Linked DNA regions of Danio rerio. The protein of the gene in region 2 purifies or fractionates together with the protein of the main gene of each other region. This does not show direct contact. Links are inferred from orthologs where the notes say so. Each region holds a gene or a part of one and is shown on either strand. Other genes may lie near its edges.

The links. The genes of interacting proteins can lie anywhere in the genome.
Region 1: the proteins of sike1 (region 2) and strn4 purify together in Homo sapiens (affinity purification with mass spectrometry; 3 studies listed by BioGRID and IntAct, with this or other methods). This does not show direct contact. The link is inferred for Danio rerio from reciprocal best matches to the Homo sapiens genes SIKE1 and STRN4.
Region 3: the proteins of sike1 (region 2) and stk24b purify together in Homo sapiens (affinity purification with mass spectrometry; 4 studies listed by BioGRID and IntAct, with this or other methods). This does not show direct contact. The link is inferred for Danio rerio from reciprocal best matches to the Homo sapiens genes SIKE1 and STK24.

What each region holds. Positions count from the first base shown.
Region 1 is NC_133190.1:13,760,140-13,767,748, reverse strand, and holds part of strn4 (striatin-4), read right to left. Parts: intron 3,088-7,609; coding exon 2,984-3,087; intron 1,150-2,983; coding exon 1,073-1,149; intron 942-1,072; coding exon 863-941; intron 785-862; coding exon 587-784; intron 1-586. UniProt on the Homo sapiens protein: Calmodulin-binding scaffolding protein which is the center of the striatin-interacting phosphatase and kinase (STRIPAK) complexes.
Region 2 is NC_133198.1:43,062,156-43,069,764, forward strand, and holds part of sike1 (suppressor of IKBKE 1), read right to left. Parts: intron 5,829-7,609; coding exon 5,723-5,828; intron 5,650-5,722; coding exon 5,507-5,649; intron 3,601-5,506; coding exon 3,487-3,600; intron 244-3,486; coding exon 130-243; 3' UTR 1-129.
Region 3 is NC_133181.1:13,497,861-13,505,469, reverse strand, and holds part of stk24b (serine/threonine-protein kinase 24), read right to left. Parts: intron 4,074-7,609; coding exon 3,916-4,073; intron 3,207-3,915; coding exon 3,021-3,206; intron 1,747-3,020; coding exon 1,601-1,746; intron 1-1,600. UniProt on the Homo sapiens protein: Serine/threonine-protein kinase that acts on both serine and threonine residues and promotes apoptosis in response to stress stimuli and caspase activation.

The DNA.
Region 1 (7,609 bases), on a different chromosome or scaffold from region 2:
CTCGTGTTCAAACCAAACTAAGATCAGCGCAGTTCAAATTAAGTTCGGCGCGGTTTTTCACATAACAGGTTTTTACGTCCTATATACATATTGAGAGATCTAGTTTACCAACCTAATAAGGGAATATGTCTTGACAATTCGCAATACCTCGATTTAATAAAAAAATTAAATCGTCTTAAAATATCAATTCAAATTAAAATAAAATCGATTAAAAAAAAATTGTAAAAAACAAATAGAAAAAAATGCCTAGCCCTATCTCAGGGACAAATAAAGTTTATCCTATCCTATCCTATCCTATCCTGTCCTGTCATTAATAATAATTATTGTGAATTAAAGTTGTGTATTATTGCATAACATTTAAAATCAGAGAAGTTAAGGTTATTAGTTACCATAACTTTATTAGTTACTAATAACTTATGTAAAAGCAGTTACATACTATATGTATATGTCTGTGTCTATCCCTTTAAATCTGGAGTAAATAATGACAGAATTTTTTGTGTTCCATCCCTTTAAATCTGGCTTCATCTGTACACAGACTCTCACTGGACCTCATTTCTACAGCTGTGCAAATGTGTGTTGTGCTAACCGTTTGATCTGCTCCTCAATCTGCCGCACCAGCAGTGACTCTCCTCCTCCTCCTACTCCTACATGCGGCTCTGGTTCTGTGGTGGGTTCGCTGGAAGGAGGCCCATTCGCCTCCGGGCTGTTTCGACCCAACAGAGAGCGAACGCGTTTGGATCGCATGTCCAGAATAGTGTCGGAGTATCCCACCTCCTCCAGATACCTGATTACAATTACGCACACAGGGTCAACACAAGATAATAACCACTTTTGAGAATGAATGCACAGAAAACACACAGACTTGCGCAATAACTGGCGTCCCTCCTTCCAAGGCATCTGATTGGTCGGTTCAGAGTCTGAATTTGCAGGCCCATTGGGTACTGAAAAAAAGAGTGTTGTAACATCTAACCATACAGCGTTTGTTTTACTGGCTTTATGTTCTTATGTTTTGATAAATATCCATCAGATTTTGTCATTTGATTGTTTTAAATAGCTTTGATTGTGTTTTTACTTGGTTCAGCTTCTGTCTCTGGTTTCTTCTCTCCAGGACTCTGGTCAGTGCCACTTTTCAGCTTCTGGTGTTTGGCCCTGTGATCAAAATGACCAGTAGAGAAAAGCATTTATTGCACATGTTTTTAATTGTTCACATTTAATTGATACTTAAGGATTTTGTGGCCATTATATAGAGAAAGTGGATATATAAAGGAGAATATGAAAGGGAAAAGTGGACCAAACAGAGTACAAATAGCAATTTGTAAATCATTGGGATTTTTATAGAAGTAGAGCACACTATACTTGTAAGAATGGATATAAATATACATTTATTCCATACTTATTGTATATTATTTATTATATTTTTTTATTAATTTGTCAGCCTTATCTCCCAAGTAAGATGATCTTTAAATGTTTTGTCCAATGGCAATTAAAATAAAAGTATTAGTAATAAAATTATTTAAAGCAATATTTAATTAAAATAAAAACTAAAAAGCGAAATGAGAAACAGACAAAAATAGCAAAAAAAAAAAAGTAAATAAACATACCAAAACAAAACAAAAACACACACAAACAAACTGTAAAAAAGCAGGGGAGCTAAAAGATTCTTGAGATCTTGAGATTCCTTCTGGAGATCTAAACTTGTATATCAGTGGGAATTAAAAATAATACTGTCGACTGAGCCATTGGTCCGCATTGCAGACATAACACTGTATTTTTTATACATTAAAGTTCAAAATTGTCAAATAACAAAAAAAATTTAATATTAAAAAATTTTATTAATAATAATAATAATAATAATAATAATAATAATAAAAACACAACAGATAAAAATATATAAAAAGCTAAACAAAAAACAACTGGACAAAGCAAAAACAGAACAAACAACAAATAGGAAAAATTAAACAAACAAAACCAGAAGAAAACAAAACAAAAACAGAAAAATGAAAAAAAAATATATATAAAAATAAAATCCAAAAAAGGAACTAAATAAAACAAAAACAAAACTGTTTTTTAAATAAATAAAAATAAAACAAACTAAAACAAAAAATCTAATAAAATAAAAAATATAAAGCATAACAAACTTTAAAAAAGAAAATTAACAAAAACACAAGAGAAAAAACAAACAATAAAAAAAGAAAAAACAAACAATAAAAAAAGAAAAAGGGAACAAAACAAAAACAAAAAAACAAAAAAGAAAAATAAATAAATAAATGAAAGAAAACAAAAAAGCAAACAACTGCAAGGGAACAAAACAGAAACAAATGAATAAATCAAAAGAAAATAAACTAAAAAGAAAAATGAGACAAACTAAATTAAACTACAAAAAATATAAAAAAGAACAATAAAATAAACAAACCACTAGAGAACAAAACAAAAACAGAACACACACAAAATACAAATTAAACAAACAATAATAAACATAAAACAAACTAAAACAGTAAAATAAAATGCACTAAAACATAACAAAAACACAACAAACAAACAATAAAAATTAAACAAACAAAAAGAAAAAGAAAAAAACTAAAAAGAAAATATGCAAGAGAACAAAACAAAAACACAAGCAAACAATATAAATTAAACAAACAAAAAAAGAAAAAGAAAACACGCAAGAACAAAACAAAAACAGATCAATTAAACAACATTTTTAAATAAACAATTGAAAACAAAACAAAAAAAAATAAAACAAACTAAAGCAAAAAAATAAAACAAACTAAAACTTCAACAACAAAAATGAACAACAATTCAAATGATGAAAAAAAAACAACAAAAAACTAAAAAACACAACAGAAAAGCAAAACAAAAATAAAACAACAGATCAAAACAAAAACAGACTAAAACAAAAATCTGGAGAGTTCTGTGATTATACTATGAGCGGCAGAGACTCATCTGTGTAAGTTTGTGTGTGTGTGTCTGTGTGTGGTTTCACCTCTCCTGTTTGAGTGCGTATTCCAGCATCTTAATTCTCCGCACCAGATCCTGCTTCATGTTCTCCTGACCTTTCCTTTCACCCTGCAGAAATGCCACCTGAGCCTGAGACAAACAGACAGAAGGAAATATGCTTCAGATTCAAACCTCATACATCTGTCAGCAAATAACAGGTTTAGCTCTGGATTTCTGTGATCGAGCCGCCAATGACATTCTTAGAGCAATGGTTAACTAAAGGCCTGCCATTCCACAAGCTTTATTTTAGGCTCTCACTGACCATACTCATGACAGGCAAATATGTTGACGGAAAAGAGACTAAGGGAGAGGAACCACAAACCATTCCTTTTCCAGTAAGTTGTGGACGAGAAGAGAGAGAAAACACATACAAATTGGCCTCAATCGTCATCTAGAGTCCACCATAACACCAACAACAATTAGGGGTGTCAAAATTAATCGTTTCTGCGGTGCACTGCGATGCAGACGCGGACAATTCGGTATCGGTTCAGTAATAATCATAACCGGTTATTACTGATGTCATTTACCTCATATGCGCTCTGTCGCAAGAGAGGCGATCGCGAGTATTTACAGCGCTTTAACAACTTAAAACTCATAAACTGTGCACACTTTCACTGTGTGTGTTTGCTGGATCAGTCTTTCACTGACATATACAACAATAGCCCCTATTTCACTGAGATGGAGAGAATGAAAGTAGCCTACTCCATTTCTCTCTCTCTCTCTTTCTCACACACACACACAGTGGCCCATTTGACCTGCTGGCATGGCTTTTCTTCTCTTCTCGGCTGTTGTACAGCGTTACTTTTGCATACAGAAACGACAGGACCGAGTTTGGACATGCCTGGTGTAAGAGAACTAGACAAGGATCAGAAATTGAGCTGGATATTTATATTTGTTAATATAATTTGCTAAATGCTCGTTTTGTTTAAAGTTACAGTTTATATATCTGACTGTACTAAATGACAAAATTGTCTTACAAATAGTATATAAATATAAATATATTCATACATTTTAATACAAGAAATGCTTCTGTGAAGAAAATATAAAACTGTGTATGAAAAGCACCGTCAATGCACCGTGATGCACCGAAATATCGAATTGAACCGAATCGATGGCATGATAATCGTAACCGAACCGAACCGTGAGACTAGTGTAGGTTCACAGCTCTACCAACAATAGTTACAAAATTAAAGGAACGCTAATTTTACAACTCCCCTAGTGTTAAACTCTAGAGTTTTATGAATCAATTTCTGGGTCTGACACAAGATCTTTTAGCTTCCACGTTTGCCTCACAGCAAGAAGGTTGCTGGTTCGAGCCCTGGCTCGGCCAGTTGCCATTTCTGTGTAGAGTTTGCATGTTCTCCCCGTATTGGCGTGGGTTTCCTTCGGGTGCTCTGGTTTTCTCAACAGTACCAAAAACAAAGGGTATAGGTGAATTAAGTAGGCTAAATTGTCAGTAGTGTAGGTGTGTGAATGAGTGTGTGTGGATGTTTCCCAGTGATTGGTTGCAGCTGGAAGGGCATGCGCTGTGTATAACATATGCTGAACAAGTTGGCGGTTCATTCGCTGTGGTGACCCCAGATTAATAAAGGGACTAAGCCGAAAAGAAAATGAATTAATAAATTAATTTAATCAATCCTCCTTAAAGCATGACTCCTCTGTATCCATATTACTTACTAAGAATGATGGAAAATTTACTGCTATTTTCTAGGTCAATATGACTTGAACTAAACTCGTATTCTGATGCAATAATCAACGAAATCTGCAATCGTAGCATGCTTGCAGCAGCACAATACTATTATGCAGTGCCTTAAACTCTTGTAACCAGAGATTTTTGCGAAATGTAACTGAGCAATTCCATGAAAATGTCAACCTTCTCATGAAAAAAATAAACTTTTGACCAAAATAACAAAACCAATTTAAATAAGCTCTCTCTCTCTATATATATATATATATATATATATATATATATATATATATATATATATATATAAGGTCTATATTTTATTTTTATGATGTGCTCTTGTTGATTTAAGGAAATTGCTTGGTTTATCCATGAAATATAAGGATTGTGCCAATGGTTTATGATGCTGCATTAATTACTGACTTACATTATATAATATCCATATGCTATAACGAGAATTGTGTGTGATTAATTGTGCAACCTGGGCAACGCAGTGCATCGTGCTGTCTCCTCACAGCAAGCTGGTTCGAGCCTCGGCTGGGTCAATTGGCATTTCTGAGTGGAGTCAGCATGTTCTCCCTACGTTCGCGTGGGTATCCTCCGGGTGCCACGGTTTCCCCCACAGTCCAAAGACATGCGGTACAGGTGAATTGGGTTAGCTAAATTGTCCGTAGTGCATGAGTGTGAATTTTATAGATGTTTCCCAGAGAGGTTGCAGCTGGAAGGGCATTCGCTGTGCAAAATCTGTGCTGGATAAATTAGTGGTTTTATTAAGCTAGTTTGATTTTATTTATGCCTGAACTCCACAGTTGAGGGATTAGAAAAAAAGAAATAGATATTTCAATATACTGGTGACATATACTTTCTCGGAGTATATATAAATTTCTTTTTTTTTTTTTCAGCAGATGTCACATCCATAATGCTGGAATCAGCAAACTACAGAAAAGTCAAACTATAAAAAGAAAAATTATCTAAACTCCTTAGTCATTGTTAAGCGAGATGCTAATGGTCTAATCTGATACAATGACATAAGCTTAGCTAAGCTAAAGTGCTTTTGTCTGAACCTGAGATCAGCTGAATGGATTCAGAAATGATGAAACTCAAATCTTTAAGTCTAGTGGAGTTGTAAAATGATCATGTTTTCAACAAAAAAAAAAGATTGACTATGTAACCAAAACCGTTAGCATGAGCATACAACAAACCTGTGCTGCTTTATGCTGTAGTTAATGTAGGCTTTCAGGTAAAAGGCAGTAATGAAGATTTGTGAAAAGCAGCAGCGTACAGGTTTGCAGTTATATTCTTGTTTTTTACTCGTCTCTAGCATATAAATCACACCCCCACACCATCAGTGTAGCTCACACAGCAGATCTGTACATACCACTGACAGCATTATTCAACAACAATAGCTATATTTTAATTTAGCTCAGCTTTTATTCACATTTAAACAAAAAGTCCAAAATTATTTATACTTTTCTCCATAATCAATAGAAAATCCTTTATTGGCCATTACAGCAACCAAACGCTTCCTATTATAGCATATCATCTTTTTCATGTCTCGACTAGTAGTTTTATCCATTCATCTTGATGAGCTTCTTTACTCACTTCAGGTTATAGCGTATCCTTGCCATCACCATGATCTTTAGCTCCCTCCACAGATTCTCAATTGAATTTAAGTCAGGACTTTGGCTGGGCCACAGCAAAGCATGAATGTTTTTGTCTGTTAACCATTTCTTCATCACGTTTGCTGTGTGTTTTGGTCATTGTTAACTGAAATGTCCACTGGTGCCGAAGGACAAGTATCTCTGCAGACTTCCTTCAGGTATTCTGATGTACTGCTCCTTTTTCAAGGTGTCATTTACTATGATTAGCTTGCTTGGTGCATTGGCTGAAAAACAGCCCTAAACAAGGTCTCCACTACCATGTTTGACAGTGGGGATAGTGTTCTTCAGGTTGACGGCTTCTCCTTTTTTTTTTTAAGTCAAATTAAGGTTACATCTTTGTAAACAACCATTTAGTTTTTGTTTCATCTGTTCTTAAAACAGCGTCACAGTGGGTAGCACAATCACCCCACAGCAAGAAGGTCACTGGTTCAAGTCCTGGCTGGGTCAGTTGGCATTTCTGTGTGGAGTTTGCATGTTCTCCCCATGTTTGCGTGGGTTTGCTCCGGGTATTCCGGTTTTCCAAAGACATGTGGTATAAGCGACTTGCGTAGACTAAATTGTCCATAGTCTGTGTGTGTGAATAAGAGTGTATGGGTGTTTTCCAGTGATGGGTTGCAGCTGGAATTGGCATCTGCTGCGTAAAACATAAGCGGGATAAGTTGGGGGTTCATTCCCCGATTAATAAAGGGACTAAGCCAAAAAGAAAATCAATGAATGATCACAAAAAAGAACACCAGAAGTCTTCTTTGTCCAAATGAGCATTTGCAAAGGCCAAATAGGCTTTGTGTGCCTTCTCTAGAGAAGTAGAGTCCTCTTTGATATGCAGAGTCCATTGGACGGTCTGCCTTGAGATGTTGCCATCAGAGCCCAGATTCATCAAGACAGTCTTGGTGGTGATCCTGTTTTACCTCTCTCACTATCCTCCTGACCACCACATGCGTCACTTTTGTCTTTGACCACGTCAGATAAACTTTTTCACATTGGGGAATGTCTTATATCGCATATGCGCCTGAAATTTTATTTATGCAACCTAAAAATATTTTTGGGAGCATTCGCACAAGTGCATAAAATTGTTGTCGTGCGACCAGTTTTCACAGCAAAATGTTCACCATATGCAAGGATTTAAGCCTGGTTTATACATCTGCGTCAAGTGATTGGTGTGTACGTCATGTAGCCATGCATTTATACTTCAGCACGCTGCATGTGCTTCTCTGCAATAACACTTCCGAAATGCTAGCTGGTAGTAGGTGTTTGTTTCTCTGTGTCG
Region 2 (7,609 bases):
AGCTAAAACCACCGCCAGGACAGTTCTGAAGGAAACTAGAAAACCCAATAGAGATATTAGTGTCAGTGGACACCAGGTCAGCTGACACACAAATGCACAAACTGCTGTCTAAAGTAACATTATCCTCCATTAGGACTCCTGTTTCTCCACAGTCTCAGATGTCGTCTCCGGTGGGTTTTTCTCCTCTCTGTGCTGCTTCACAGAGCTGATGGACAGCAGACCCCGGAGCTCCTTGTTTTCAATCTGCATCAACAAAAGGACGCATTAGATTAACATATGAAAGTGCATTTAGAGTGCAAATCACACACCAAGTGCTATATAACTATTTTATTTTGTCAAAAATTGTACTTCCAGATGGGGAGGGAGGGAGAGATGGATTGATAGATTTGAAGTCAGAATTATTAGCCCCTCTGAATTATTAACCCCCCTGCTTATTGTTTCCCCAATTTCTGTTTAACGGGGAGAAGATTTTATCAACACATATAGAAACATCATAGTTTTAATAAGTCATCTCTAATAACTGATTTATTTTATCTTTGCCATGGTGACAGTAAATAATATTTGACTTCAAGTATTTAAGACGGCTTAAAGTGACATTTTTAGGCTTAACTAGGTTAATAAGGTTAACTAGGTAGGTTAGGGTAACTAAGCAAGTTATTGTGTAGTGGTTTGTTCTGTAGACTGTCGGGAAAAAAAATAGCTTAAAGGGGCTAATAATTTTGTCCTTAAAATGGCTTTTATAAAATTAAAAACTGCTTTTATTCTAGCCGAAATAAAACAGATAAGACTTTTTCCAGAAGAAAAAATATTATCAGACATACTGTGAAAATTTCCTTGCTCTGTTAAACATCATTTGGGAAATATAAAAAAAAAAGAAAAAAAAATCAAAGGGGGGCGAATAATTCTGACTTCAACTGTAGATAGATAGATAGATAGATAGATAGATAGATAGATAGATAGATGGATGGATGGATGGATGGATGGATGGATGGATGGATGGATGGATGGATGGATGGATGGATGAATGGATGGATAGATAGACAGATAGACAGATAGATAGATAGATGGATAGATAGCTCATTTATTGAGCAACTAAGATTAAAACTGTTAAAAATATATAACAAAAAAAAAAAGATAACTAAAATTAATAAAATTAAAAATTAACAAATAAATGAAAACTTAAACTGTAATTTTAACAGTCACTGATAAACTGACTGAAATAAAACACGTGATATATGTACAGGGTTCTTACACCTTTTCCAACTTCATGTGCATTGCTATTCAAAATTCCTGTAACAACAACTTAAATCCCTAATGTAGAATATAATATTCTTGCTGCAAATTAATGAACTGTTCCTATGTCAACTGTTTGGAAACCATAATTTGTCATCTTTCATCAATATTACTTTATTCAAAATATCTTATATCTTATATTTAGTATTTTTACAGGCATTGCAGGCTTTGTTTACTGCTGCAAGTTGACATGTCAACTGTTTTAAACTATTCCTGAGCACTGCGTTTGGCGTTTTTATGTGCAAATATGCATTCTGTGTGAACCTAAATCTCCTAAATCTGGTAAACAAATTTCGAGCCCTGCAATTTCAAATTCAAGCACTTTTAAAAGTCACTATTAAAAAACACTATTAAAAATCAAGCATTTTCCAAGATTTCCAGAACCCGTACGAACCCTGTAAGTAGTTGGAGTGGTTTATTAACTCGCCCTCGCCCCATTTGCAATATTATTCTACAGCGACATAGTGCATAGGCCAAATCATTTTGACACCCTTAGCGGTGTCAGTTTAGTGTATGCTTCAAACTATTATTTAAAGAAAAAAGCATGAATAAATCTAATATGACATGATAATCTTTTTTTATTTTGATAATTGTTTTTCATAGTCGGTGGAGGCCAAAATCAAAAGTGAAACTTTCTTAATTGAACAGATCTACTTCCTTATTGCTTCTAGTCTTTAGAAAGTTTTTTTTTCATGGCTCTATTTGACGTCATTGATGTTTTAAAGAGTTTTACCATTTTTTAATCCATTTAGCTGATTTCTGGGTCTGCTGGGAGCCCTTTTAGAGTAGCTTAGCATAGATCATTGAATTGGATTAGACCGTAAGCATCTCACTTAAAATTGACTGAAGAGTTTTGATAATTTTGCAATTCAAACCTTGATTTTTTTCTGTAGTTCTATCATGGACTAAGATTAACAGAAAAAAAAAAATCATTTTTTTTTAGCCTTTTATAACCAAGGACTATACTCTCATTCTGTTGTAATAATCAAAGAGCTGCCATACTTTGGCTCCAGCAGACACAATGACATTATGCAGCACCTGAAAATAGTCCCCATCTAGGTAACTTCCAACATGATCACCTACCTAATTTTCTTCCTTCAAAACACTGCATTTCCATTGGTCAAAGTTGCTGGAGTAGTGTGGATGCTACTTGTAATCATAACAAAACTTATGCGTCATAAGACTTTTATTACAAACATACTCTAGTGTAATGCCTAGTTCAGACTGTGTGATTTCAGCCCCGATTTTGGCTCGCCGACAGGTTTTGAGAAATCGCAGACAAATGCCTGAAATCACAGGCAAATCGGTGCTGTGAGTGACAATCACACAGTATGAACTATCAAAGACGCAATCTGAAAGAATCGCCGATGAGTCGCCGATGCCTGTGAGATATTTGGCGTGCTGAATATCTGGAGCTGTCTGCGAATCAAATCATTCCGTGTGAATTGAGTTTTTACTGAAAATAACATCAGCGATCGCCTACAGCCAATGAGAGAGCGGCATTCACTTGTGTGTGCGTGTGTGTACCTGCAGCAGGCCAGCGGGAGGCTGGGGGAGAAGTTAAAAGCGCTCTTTTTCGGTTTATTTGGACCCACGAAATGGAGGAAAAACTAGTTGAGGTTTGACAGGACTCAGGAGCAACCGTGTCTGTTTGACGTTTCATACAGAAAGAAATTAGTTTATTATCAACGTTGAGGAGAAATGGCTAATTCCCTTCAAACCCAGGTGAGCAAATATGTACATTTTCTACCCCATTAAAGGCTTCTTTCTCATTATGTAGTTAATAACAAAAGATATACTACTGTGAGACGTAGTTTGAATGAAGTTGTCGGCGATTCTTCCTATAGTAAAGTCATGCAATGTGAAAACCCCTGTCACCGATCCATCTTGCAGTGTAAACAAAGCAGCGACGAAACGCTAGCCCAGCAGTGTGAAAACATCTGTGATACGACTACTTTGAAAATCATGCAATCCTGATTGGTCAACCAATTACAGACAACTGAGCCATCTGGACAATCTGAGTAGAGAAAGTTCTCAGTAAGGCGAGGATCTTTGAACCAATGAAAATGAGTCGATATTGCAATGGATACTATAAGAAAATGTTTGACCCTGGCCTGAATGGATGTAAACCCACTGTAGGAGAGCTAGAAAACTAAATTAGAAACCTTTAAAATAGCAAAACAGAGCTGTTACCTCAAGCTGTGCCAGTCGCTCTTTCACAGAGCAATAGTGCTGGTCATCCATCTGTACGGCTTGACGCATTACTTGACCCATTTCACAGATCCGTCCCAACTGGCTTTGAACCTCCTGGAAAAAAACCAGACTTATTTTAGGTTCATTTTGCTTGATTTACGTATGAACACAAAGACAATTTGAAATAAAACAGTTCATAAAACACAACCGGTGAGTTCCCAACTTCTTTCATTTCTCCATAGAGCAACTGTTTTCGAGGAATAAACCTTTAAAATCAGACTTGTTATTGGTTGTTAATTGATGGAACGTTTTTCTTGAAACGATCTCTTTGTTTTATTTCAGTTTATACCTAGATTTAGCCAATTGTGAATTTGCCAAAGCCACAGTTGTGTACTTAGGAAAAAAGGTAGGTCAGGGACATGTGTGTCCAGTTGATGCAAAACAGTTAGTGTCCCCACTAACTGATCTTTTGAGCACTGAAAGAGTTTTTGTGTGGTCTGCTTTATGTGATCAGGCTTTTCGAGCAGCAAAAGATTTGCTGTGTAACGCTCCTATTCTTTCAGCACCGGACTTGGAGCGTCCCTTTAAATTGGAAGTGGATGCTTCTGCTACTGGGGCTGGAGCAGTTCTGGTTCAGGAAAGTGCTATTTCTCAAAAAAGTTGCATGTCAACGCAGATATAGTACGATCGAAAAGGAGGCTTTAGCACTGCTTTTAGCATTGCAACATTTTGGGGTTTACTTGGGTGGAAGTTCGTTCCCAATTTGTGTGTATTCGTGTGCACCCATCATAATCCTCTTGTTTTTTTTAGGATGCACAATTCAAACCAGCGATTAATGAGATGGTCTTTGGATGTCCAGGAATTTAATTTGGATATACGGCACAAGAAAGGTTTGCAAAATGTGGTTGCAGATGCGCTGTCCAGAGTTTATGGTGCTGAAGTTGAGGTTTGAGTTAGGTGGGTAGATACAAACTGCTTGTTTGCATCTTTTTGGTGGGAAGGTGTTACGAGTAGTTGTTGTGGTGGTGTAGTGTGTGTGTGTGTGTGTGTGTGTGTGTGCGTGTGTGTGTGTGTGGTGTTTCTCTCTCTCTCTCTCTCTCTCTCTCATTTCGAAGTATTGGCAGGTGAAGCGGATTACGTCAGATCCTGGTTGGCGGTGGCTGTATTTCTTATTTAAACCTCAGAGAGCATTGATTCAGCAGCTCCCCGCTCTCTCTCTCTCTCTCTCTCTCTCTATTCCCCGCTTGTTATTCTCTGTGTAGATATTATTGCTTGAGTGATAAATATGAGTGTTTGTTGCTGATGTCTCTTATATGGCATTTTTGTGAGATAGCAATGTGAAGTTGTACATTCTAATTGGAGAAACCCGGGTTTTCTGTCTCCCTGTCTGGCTTGGAGCATGGTAGGGAGGTTTGATGGCTTCTATTTATTATTTTCGTTTTCTCCTGTGTTGTAAGTAGGGAGTTAAATTTTCTGTATTTTATTTTCTTATTTATTTCCAGGGAAGTTTTCTCTAATTTAGTTAGTTTGGTTTATTGTCATTTATTTTGGCTGAACCCCACCTGATGTTATTTTTGCTTCTTATTTTCTGTAAATAAATAATATTTTCTTGTTAATTCTCAGTGGTTGTGTTTTTGGTTTATTTTTTGGTGGGGAGAGAGCGCGAGGGCACCAGGGAGTATATTTTTAATCCCTGTTATCTTGCAATGTTTTGCTTAAACCTCTTTATGATTAAGGATTTTTAATTTAATTTGTAACAATATGCTCCAAATAAAATTCTACCAATCAGAGAGTTGCAAACAAGCAAAAGGTGTCCAAACAGTTTAGCTCCACCCATTTTAGGAAGCATTAACAATCATGCAATTAAGTTCATCTTCCGTCACTCTCAGAATATATAAACAACTAACTATATGTGCATAACTTATATGCATAGTTTCCTACAGACATTATATAAGAAGCCAACAAAACTTTTAAAAAGAGCGAAGTCTCCAAACATTTAAAAACACCAACAGACTGGCACCTTGGCATGATTCTGGTGAAGACTGAGCACAGGTTTGGTGTCCAGCTCTTTCTTCTCCATCATCATCTGCAGCATCTGCTTGCGGTATCGGCCCATGATCAGCTCCAAGGCGTACTGGTGCTCCTCCAGAGAGAGCCAGAGCTCTGTGAACAGCATAAACACACTTCAGTCAGCCATTCACCTTACAAAAGCAGAGACGCTGTGAAGAAGTCTTGCCTCTGTTCTCCTGCTGGAGCTCTTTGATTTGGGTGTTCTCCTGGCTCAGCAGGACGTGAGGCTTGTATCTGGACAGCTCTTGATACTCGGTGTTCTCCTCCATGTACTAAACACAGGAAAACACAGGAACTTCATATTGGGTCGTTGTTCTTTTATTTAATGTGTTGTAGCATATGTTTTCATCTAACGGCAAGTCGGCATCTCGGGCTATTTTCAGGATAAAAACAATTCAGAAAAACTATATCAAATATGATAAAACAAGTTATATTTCTACAAAAATAAAAAGTGGGACAGTCCAATAAGATATGTTTTACAGACAGAGCAATCTTGCAAAACATGCATATCTTCATTTGGTGGTGGTGTCATGCAAATCACTGACAACAATTCTGGGGTGTGTTTCTGAAAACCATCGTTAGCCAACTAAGCTCTCAAGTTCTGTCATTACAAACATAGTTCCTTGATTTGGCGTTTCCCAAATCCATCACTCCAACGAACATTCGTAACCTGCGTTGCAAACTTGTACACTTGAAGCTGCACCTTTAAAGCTGTAGTTAGAAGCACAGTTCCTGGCTGTGTTCTATTCCCAGTTATCCCCCTATGCCCTATTCATTTAGAACATTCCAACATTAAAAATTGGAACGATTTAAAAATAAAAAAAAACATTAAAGGTGCAGTAGGTGATCTTCCACAATGATAACAGCTTAGCATAAATCCCTGAATCACAGTCCCTCCTCTGCCGTCTGTGTTAAATGCGACTAGTGCTTGTTCGCTGGCGTGCAAGCCAAACTGACATGCTATTTAAGAGCGAATATTTAAAGATGCATGGCAAACAATATAGGACGAGACTAGGCGGAAATGCGCTATTTACTTGTGTTTTGTTGTTAAACTAATTAAAATCTACATTATCGGTGCAGGGCGAGGCAGTGGCGCAGTGGGTAGCACGTTCGCCTCACAGCAAGAAGGTCGCTGGTTCGAACCTCGGCTCAGTTGGCGGTTCTGTGTGGAGTTTGCATGTTCTCCCTGCCTTCGCGTGGGTTTCCTCCGGGTGCTCTGGTTTCCCCCACAGTCCAAAGACATGTGGTACAGGTGAATTGGGTTGGCTAAATTGTCCGTAGTGTATGAGAGTGTGTGTGGATGTTTCCCAGAGATGGGTTGCAGCTGGAAGGGTATCCGCTGTGTAAAAACTTGCTGGATAAGTTGGTGATTCATTCCGCTGTGGCGACCCCAGATTAATAAAGGGACCAAGCCGACAAGAAAATGAATGAATGAATGAATGAAAAAATTTGCTCTCCATTAAATAAAAATTGGGGAACAAAATAAACAGGGGGACTAATAATAATTTAGGGGGTCTAATAATTCTGACTTCAACTGTGTGTGTGTGTGTGTGTGTGTGTGTGTATCTATATCTATCTCTCTCTAAATATATTTTTTATTTATTTATTTTTTTCCTAATCGAGAAAATAAATCAGGATCGGGTTAATTCACAACGAATAAATCAAATTTATCAAAATTATCGACAGTTGCAAACATTTTAATCAGCTGAAATTTCAGTTTCACATCAAAACTATGCAAAGCATTTATTCTAGACTTATTCAACTCAATTCAAGTCCAAATTTAAACTCTCAAGAATTTATCAAGTTTTTATTTCCACTAATTTAACTTTTTATGATATTCGAGACTGTTTTAATGTTTGTCAACAGTACATGTTTATAATATAATCTTATCAGTCATAACGCATATAGAATGAGATGTCAGAGCAATTTATAACATTGCATTGGATTTCAAAAATTTTGTTCAGCTATTTTTATTATTATTATTATTATTATTATTTAAATCACATTTCTAAAAAATTTTGAAATATTATTTGAAAAAGAAAATATTTTCTTG
Region 3 (7,609 bases), on a different chromosome or scaffold from region 2:
ACACAGCTAAAGTAGTTGCAGATGTGGAAACTATTTCAGTTACTTCAAATAAGACAGCCTAAGGGTCCGATCACACCGAACGCTGTTTTTGAATGATTTGATGGCCACAAGCATTCTGCACACTGCTTACGAGCTCCTCGCATTTTAGCCATTGCGCTCTGTGCGCCTGCAGTTGAAGAAAGTCAACTCTAAGTGGAGAAAATCATGTTACGTCATTCACATTTTTTTTTCTTCTTCTCTAAAGCAAAGGCTGGGTTTCCGTTGAGGTGACAGCAGTGTTGATCAAAATGACAACAAGAGACTTTTGAGGAGAGACTAGCAGTTGCTGTTTTGAGTTACCCGGACATGTATGACTTAACAAATTTTAAATATCACAATATTATTAAATATTGCTATTATAGCAATATCAACAGCAACACTCGAGCACAATACGCAGCTGATTCAGTCATAAAAAGTGCACAGCACTTCTTTTTTTTGTTGTCAACTGAAAAAGGCAGTGCTGTGCACCTCACGTTTTCAGAACAGAAAAGTGCACTTGTTGTGACCCTAAAAAAGACAAAAACTGGATTAGATAGAAAATCCCAAACAAATTAGAACTTTAAGGACATTTACTTGACAAACCTCATGATTTCCAACATCTGAACAATGTCTTTCAGGTGTGATATCCATAGTATACGTAAAATAATAGACTTAGACCTTTTGAATTTACAAAATAACGCATGTAAAAAATTATGTAGAAAGTAATGTGCAATAATTATAATCTAATAAAAGCCTGTTGTCAATTATTCCTTACTTAAATCATTACTTGCTAGTGACTAACATTAATCAATCTTAATAACATATGTAAACAGGGATTGAGCAACTGTTTTGTGGATATTACCTTTGTTTTTAAACACGGACATCCCAGAAAAAGTTTTATATTTCATGCACTTCTTCATACCTCTAATTAGTAATTTAGAGTTGTCAAGTTTCAGAATGTAGTAAGTCGAGTTAACCTTCAATTTTTTTGGCATATTTACAAGGTTAATTTTTTTTGTCCGTTTTTCACAATTTTTTCTGATCATTCAGATGGCCTTGAAGAAGCTTTAATACATTAAATGTAAAAAGCAATATAAATCTAAAGCATTTCTGTCATTTTTTAAATCATAAAATGTGTTCGGGGATTGTTTTAGCCACCTCAAAAATGAAAATTCTGTCATTTACACACCTTTATGTTGGTAAAAAAACAAACAAACTGTATGTCGTTATCTAGAATGGATGATATTTTGAGAAATGTTTTATTGTTTTGTTTTTTATATACTATAAAAGCTAAAGGGATCTAATATTGTTTTGATTCTAATGTTCTTAAATATAATATAATATAATGTAATATAATATAATATAATATAATATAATATAATATAATATAATATAATATAATATAACATAACATAACATAATAATATAAAATAATAGAATAGAATAGAATATTTTTTTGAAAAATAAAGAAAAACATACTATTAAGAAATGACTTAAGGGTGAATTATTGACGCCAAATTAATAATTTTTAAGCAGACAATTGTATGAAATGTAAATGTGAAAGTAATTTTAGCAGTCTTACGAGTCAGATTCATCAGAACTGGACTCTGCTCTCGACTGTTCGGCTTTCCATCGCTTGTATTTGTCGATGAGCTCCGTCAGGTAGGATGTTTTCTTCGCAAAGCGCACAATGAGCTTGTGTTTGAGCAACTCTTTGGCTGTCGGTCTCTGAGGAAGAAGACAGAAAGACACAGAAACCATCACGACAGGTCCTATGAAACAAAACCTCATTGCTAATGCCTGATTCAACAGTACCTCAAGGATTTTAAAATGATCTTTTTTATTTTTATTTTTTAGTTTTGCAATACTTGCAGCAAATTTTACACCACTTCTATTATTGCTTTGAGGTGAAAATATATACAAACTTACTCCTCTTAATTTTTTGACCTCAAGAAAATTGATCTCTTTAATTTATATAAAGGAAAACTAGAGGTTACCCATAAATCCTGCTGTATCATATTTAAAAATGAAACCAGTTGTTTGAAGTGTCATCCATGTTGTTTGACCGATATGACAGTTGATGGAAATTATGCAGAGAATGCATGCTTATGTGTGTGTACGTGAGAGAGAAAAAGAGAGAGGGCTACGCTTATGACGATTATATACAATAAATAGAAGTTTATGAATCCGCTTTGCCATAACGTCACATGACGCAGATCACACATCAAAGGAAGAGTGTGTATGTGACAACTCAAGGCTTTACACAGCACACAAGCACATTGTGTTCGCAAATACTGTTTTCGTTTTCTTTTTGTACTTTTTTATTTATTGGTATTTAACAAGACCATGCACGGTGCAGAATACGAAATTATAGAGCGTCTTAGTTTAAACCGACTCTTACTTTCCCATAAAACTAGATATTATAATACATATACTTCAGAATAATTAAGAAATGACAGAAACCAATCATACCTTCCCACTACTATACAAAAAAAGAATTAAAACATTCACACAATTACTTCATGTTGTCCCAACACAAACCGATCAATTTAACTTAATTGATTAAACTAATTTAAGTGGATTGAACGTAAAAAAAATTAAGTTGTCCCCCAAAAAAAACTCAAGAATTGTGATGTTTCAGTTTGTTTTAAATAAGTTGTTTGAACAAGCAGCAAAATTTACTTTGTGTAACGTTTTTCAATGTACAACTATGCAGATTGCGCACTGTGGTGTGACAGGAATTCAAACACTGTGCTGACCGCTCAAAATAAGAGAAATCTACGACTATGTTGTGAAATTTTGTGACATTTTGCGTTAAATTCAGAATTCGCTGGGATCGCGAAATCCTGGAGGGTCTGTTTCAGGAACAAATATAGCACATGTCTAAATGAAAATGACCTCAGCAGCAAAAACAGAACAAATTGTTTTGCCAGAAAGATCAGTGAACGAGTTAAAAAGGATATGGAAAATGACCTCTGGGAGTCCCCAAAAAACATACTCACAAAACTGGGCTCTTTGTTTAGACAGGCCTCCACAAACTCTTTGAGCGGTTTGCAGTAGTTGCCCTCCAGTGTGGGGGGGTTGTTCTTTGGAATGAGGAACAGCACCTTCATTGGATGTAGGTCGGAGTGGGGGGGCTCTCCTTTAGCCAGCTCAATCGCCGTGATGCCCAATGACCAAATATCAGCCTGAGAACAAACACAACGTTTTCATGACCAGGGCCCGGATGCATGTTAAAGACCCCATGAAATAAAAAAAAGTTGTTTTTTTAGGTGTTAGTATTAGTATTGCTAGTTTTTAGGATATCTATAAGCTAGTGCGCAGTTAATCAGTGACAAAATTCGTGTTTAGAAGATACAAAACTGACATATACATGTAAAGCTTGTAGTTCGTCACTTCTGCCTAAATGAATCAACGGATTTATTCATGTTACCTCATACTTTAGTTTCTTATTAAATCTTGACCAATCAAATGATCTCTAGTATCTGACATGCCCCGCCCCCTTCAAGACGCTTCTCATTTGCTTTTCATTTGATCAGCTTGATCCCAACCACTTTCACTGGCAGCGCTGTGATGAAAACAAAATGCTATTGGCTGTTTTTTTTTATAAAAGGGAGGAGCTACCCCATGTCTCAGTCCCACCCTCTCTCTTTATGTGTCAGTTGAGATTACATCAAACATCGAATAAAATTGCACATTTTAAAGCACTTCACGGGTTCTCTAAGGACTTTCATGCAACCAGACCCAGTCCACTTCCAAGTCACTTGATGAAATCACATCACAATGATTCACTTGGGGAAAAATCTAACAAGTAGTCACGATCAACAGCAGATCCAGACGTCTGGTGCAGTGACTGATCTGCAGCACAGCCCTTGACTTTTGTTCAGTGGCTCTCACCTTTGAATCATAAGCGGACTGTTTGATGACCTCAGGTGCCATCCAGAAGGGTGTGCCCACGAAAGTGTTCCGCTTGATCTGTGTGTCCGTGAGCTGACCGGCCACACCGAAATCTGCCAGCTTCACCTCCCCTTGCTCCGACAATAATACATTTGCGGCTAAAAAAAAGAAATGAGAAAAGACAGTGTGAGGGAGAGTGTATGATAACTTCAGAAATGCAACATTTATGTCAAACTGGGGCCCCAAATGGGGTGCATAGAAAATAGGGGTGTAACGGATCACGGTTTATCACTGTTTGTTTAGCCTGCAATTATGCATTCAGTGTAAAGCTGCAAGATTAAACATTTAAAGATCGTGATCTCAATTCAACCCCACGCAACATGTATGATAAATGGTGATGATTTGCATGTTTGTTCCTTCGAAAGGGCTGCATTCAAATCTGTGTTTGATCGAGAGAGATACTGTTCTTACCCTTTTTCAGTTCGTTACAAAATTAAATAACACAATAGTACTGAGAGAACAGTTTATAGTTCAGATATAAACACACTGATGTTTATGGTAAAGATAAAAATCACAGTTTGATGGAACTTGACGCTAGTGAATGTTGTAGCAATTACACTCTGTTACCACCGGGTGGCGATAAACAACCTTTAAAACTATAGCACTGAATAGGTTTCCAAAAATGATAACCTGCATATGGCTATTTATTTAAATGGATAACATCGTATGTTATCAACTTATTGTATTATTGTACACATTTGCTTTACTAAAAAAAATGTAATATATTTTTATGTCGTTTTAATTTGATGTTTTTCCCTTCACAGTATTAATCATTTAAAAAAATTACAACTGTAAAGTTGTAAAATCTGATACATGCAAATAATACAGCCACTAGGGATGTAACGATTCATTGTGAGCAGGTTAAAAATTTATTCAAATATGGGACGATTGAAACCGGTTAAAATGTTAAAAGAATCGCAATACATATTTGAACATAGGGGGCGCTGTGTTATAATATAATATAAATGGAAAGCAAATGACATTTGTCCCTTTTTTTGCTGATCCGAAAAATGGTTCAATCAGTGACTCAAAAACCGTAGTGTAAATAAAATTAAATAATTGGTGATTCAAACCAGTAGAAATGTTGAACAAATCGCGATACATTTTTTCTAACAGAGGGGGCACTTTGTTATAATATAATATAAATGGAAAGCAAATGACATTTCTTCAACTTAGAATTATAAGGTTCTATCTGCGTTCTGAATGATTTTGAGATATTGAGCTTCAAAGTTTTTGCATTTCATAGCAAACAGTAAGTGTGTAACATTGTTTTTTTTAAATTAAAAAATGTTCAAATGTAAACAACTTATTTACATTATGGGATGTTTTTTTATAAGAATATGTCAATAACTCAATTTTGTTAAAAATGTCAGATAGAGCCTTATAATTCTAAGGTGACTATTTGGGTCTCTAAACCGAAAACAATTCAGTGACTCAAAATCCGCAGTGTAAATCGATTTAAATATGCAACGATTTAAACCGGAAATGTTGAACGAATCGTGATACATTTTTTGAAGAGAGGGGGCGCTGTGTTAAAATATAATATAAATGGAAAGCAAATGACGTGTGTCTGCTTTTTTGCTGAACCGAAAAATAGTATGATTCATAACTCAAAAAACGTAATGTAAATAGATTTAAATATGTGACAATTCAAACCGATAGAAATGTTGAACGAATCCCAATACATTTTTTAAACAGAGGGGGCGCTGTGTTATAATATAAATGGAAAGCAAATGACATGTGTGTCTCCTTTTATGCTGAACTGAAAAATAGTCCAATACATGGCTCGAAAACCGTAGTGTAAATCGATTTAAATATGTGACAATTCAAAACGGTAGAAATGTTGAACAGGAAAATTTAAACCCTAGTCCCATGCACATACACTGTAGAAAGAAAAAGAGGAAGACAAACACTGTAGCAATTTCCAGTTGAATCATGTCACGAAGACGCTGTGCTCTGAAGTGTGAGGGAAAGTTTCTCTACCCAAAGATGAGGCTGTGAAAAGTGAGTGGCTGAAGATTATTTTTGCAAGAATACCTCAGCATTATAGCCCCAGCCCTGTGCATTTTTCTAACGAGTGCTTTAGCAGTCTACACCCTTACAACGGGGGATTCATCAGCCGTTGGTTAAAGGAAGGATCCGAAAAGACTATTGATGTGTGGGACTTTGTCAGAGCTTGAAAGGAACTTTACAGTACACAGTTCATGGATCGGTTTCTTTTTTTTTTTTTTCAGATTGTTGGTTTAGTGTTTCAACTTTCAAGATTCATTTGTGTTTGTTTGTTTTCTCTCTAGTTCTTACTGTGATTCATGACACTATATTGTGTAATAGTTCTAAGGTATGTGACCAATAAATGAATCGTGAACCATCAGTAAAAGAGTCAATCATCTTTTAACCAGGATACTACAGTACACATTTGCTTTACTAATATATATATATATATATATATATATATATATATATATATATATATATATATATATATATATATATATATATATATATATATATATATATATATAAATAAAATATATATATATATATATATATATATATATATATATATATATATATAAAATAAATAAATATATATATATATATATAAATAAATATATATATATATATATATATATATATATATATATATATAAATAAATATATATATATATATATATAAATAAATATATATATATATATATATATATATATATATATATATATATATGAATGAATGAATAAATGAATGAATGAATGAATGAATATATATATATATATATATATATATATATATATATATATATATATATATATATATATATTTATATATATATATTAGTAAAGCAAATGTGTACTGTAGTATCCTGGTTAAAAGATGATTGACTCTTTTACTGATGGTTCACGATTTTACGAACTTTACATTTTAAAATCTGATATATGCAAATAATAAAGTCACATAACAGATTACAAACAAATCATAGAAGCTGAATAACACCAAGGCAAATATCTGGTGTCAAAATATGTCTGAATAAATTAAATCTTCTTCTGTCTATCTGGACCAACAAACATTCAAGTCACAGCAGATATGTGCTTTTTCATTGGACTCTGAATAAAACTGACCGACCAGTAAGATTTGGTTGCACAGATCTGCTAATGTTACATAAAACCGCAACTTCAAAGTGCTCCATTTTGCTAAGCGACAGTAAACGGCAGTGGAAGAATCCATAATTGGCTCTCATCTCTGTGCTCTTGCATTTCCCGTTATTTGATCACGGTGAAATTAAATAAAATCTGAACGGCTGTATGAAAAGATGTAAATACTGTTAGTGCTCATTTCTAAACGATGCAGGTGACAGATCTGACTGTTGAACAGTACTTTGTGTAGCACAGAATCTAGCATAACAGCTGTATTTATTATGTAGTTTTTTACGCGTTGTTATAAGTAAACTAATCAAGTGCAAACTGGATATCATTCTTATGTTGAACAAGTGTTTGTAAACATGTCTCAATAACCTTGCTATCAAAATCTAAAAAATGCTCTAAAGTAGCTTTATTATGCTTTGTAAACCTTCAGCTTCCTATGAGCTTGAAAAGGTTACAAAGCATATCACAATGTCCACTCTAAACTGGGCTTACT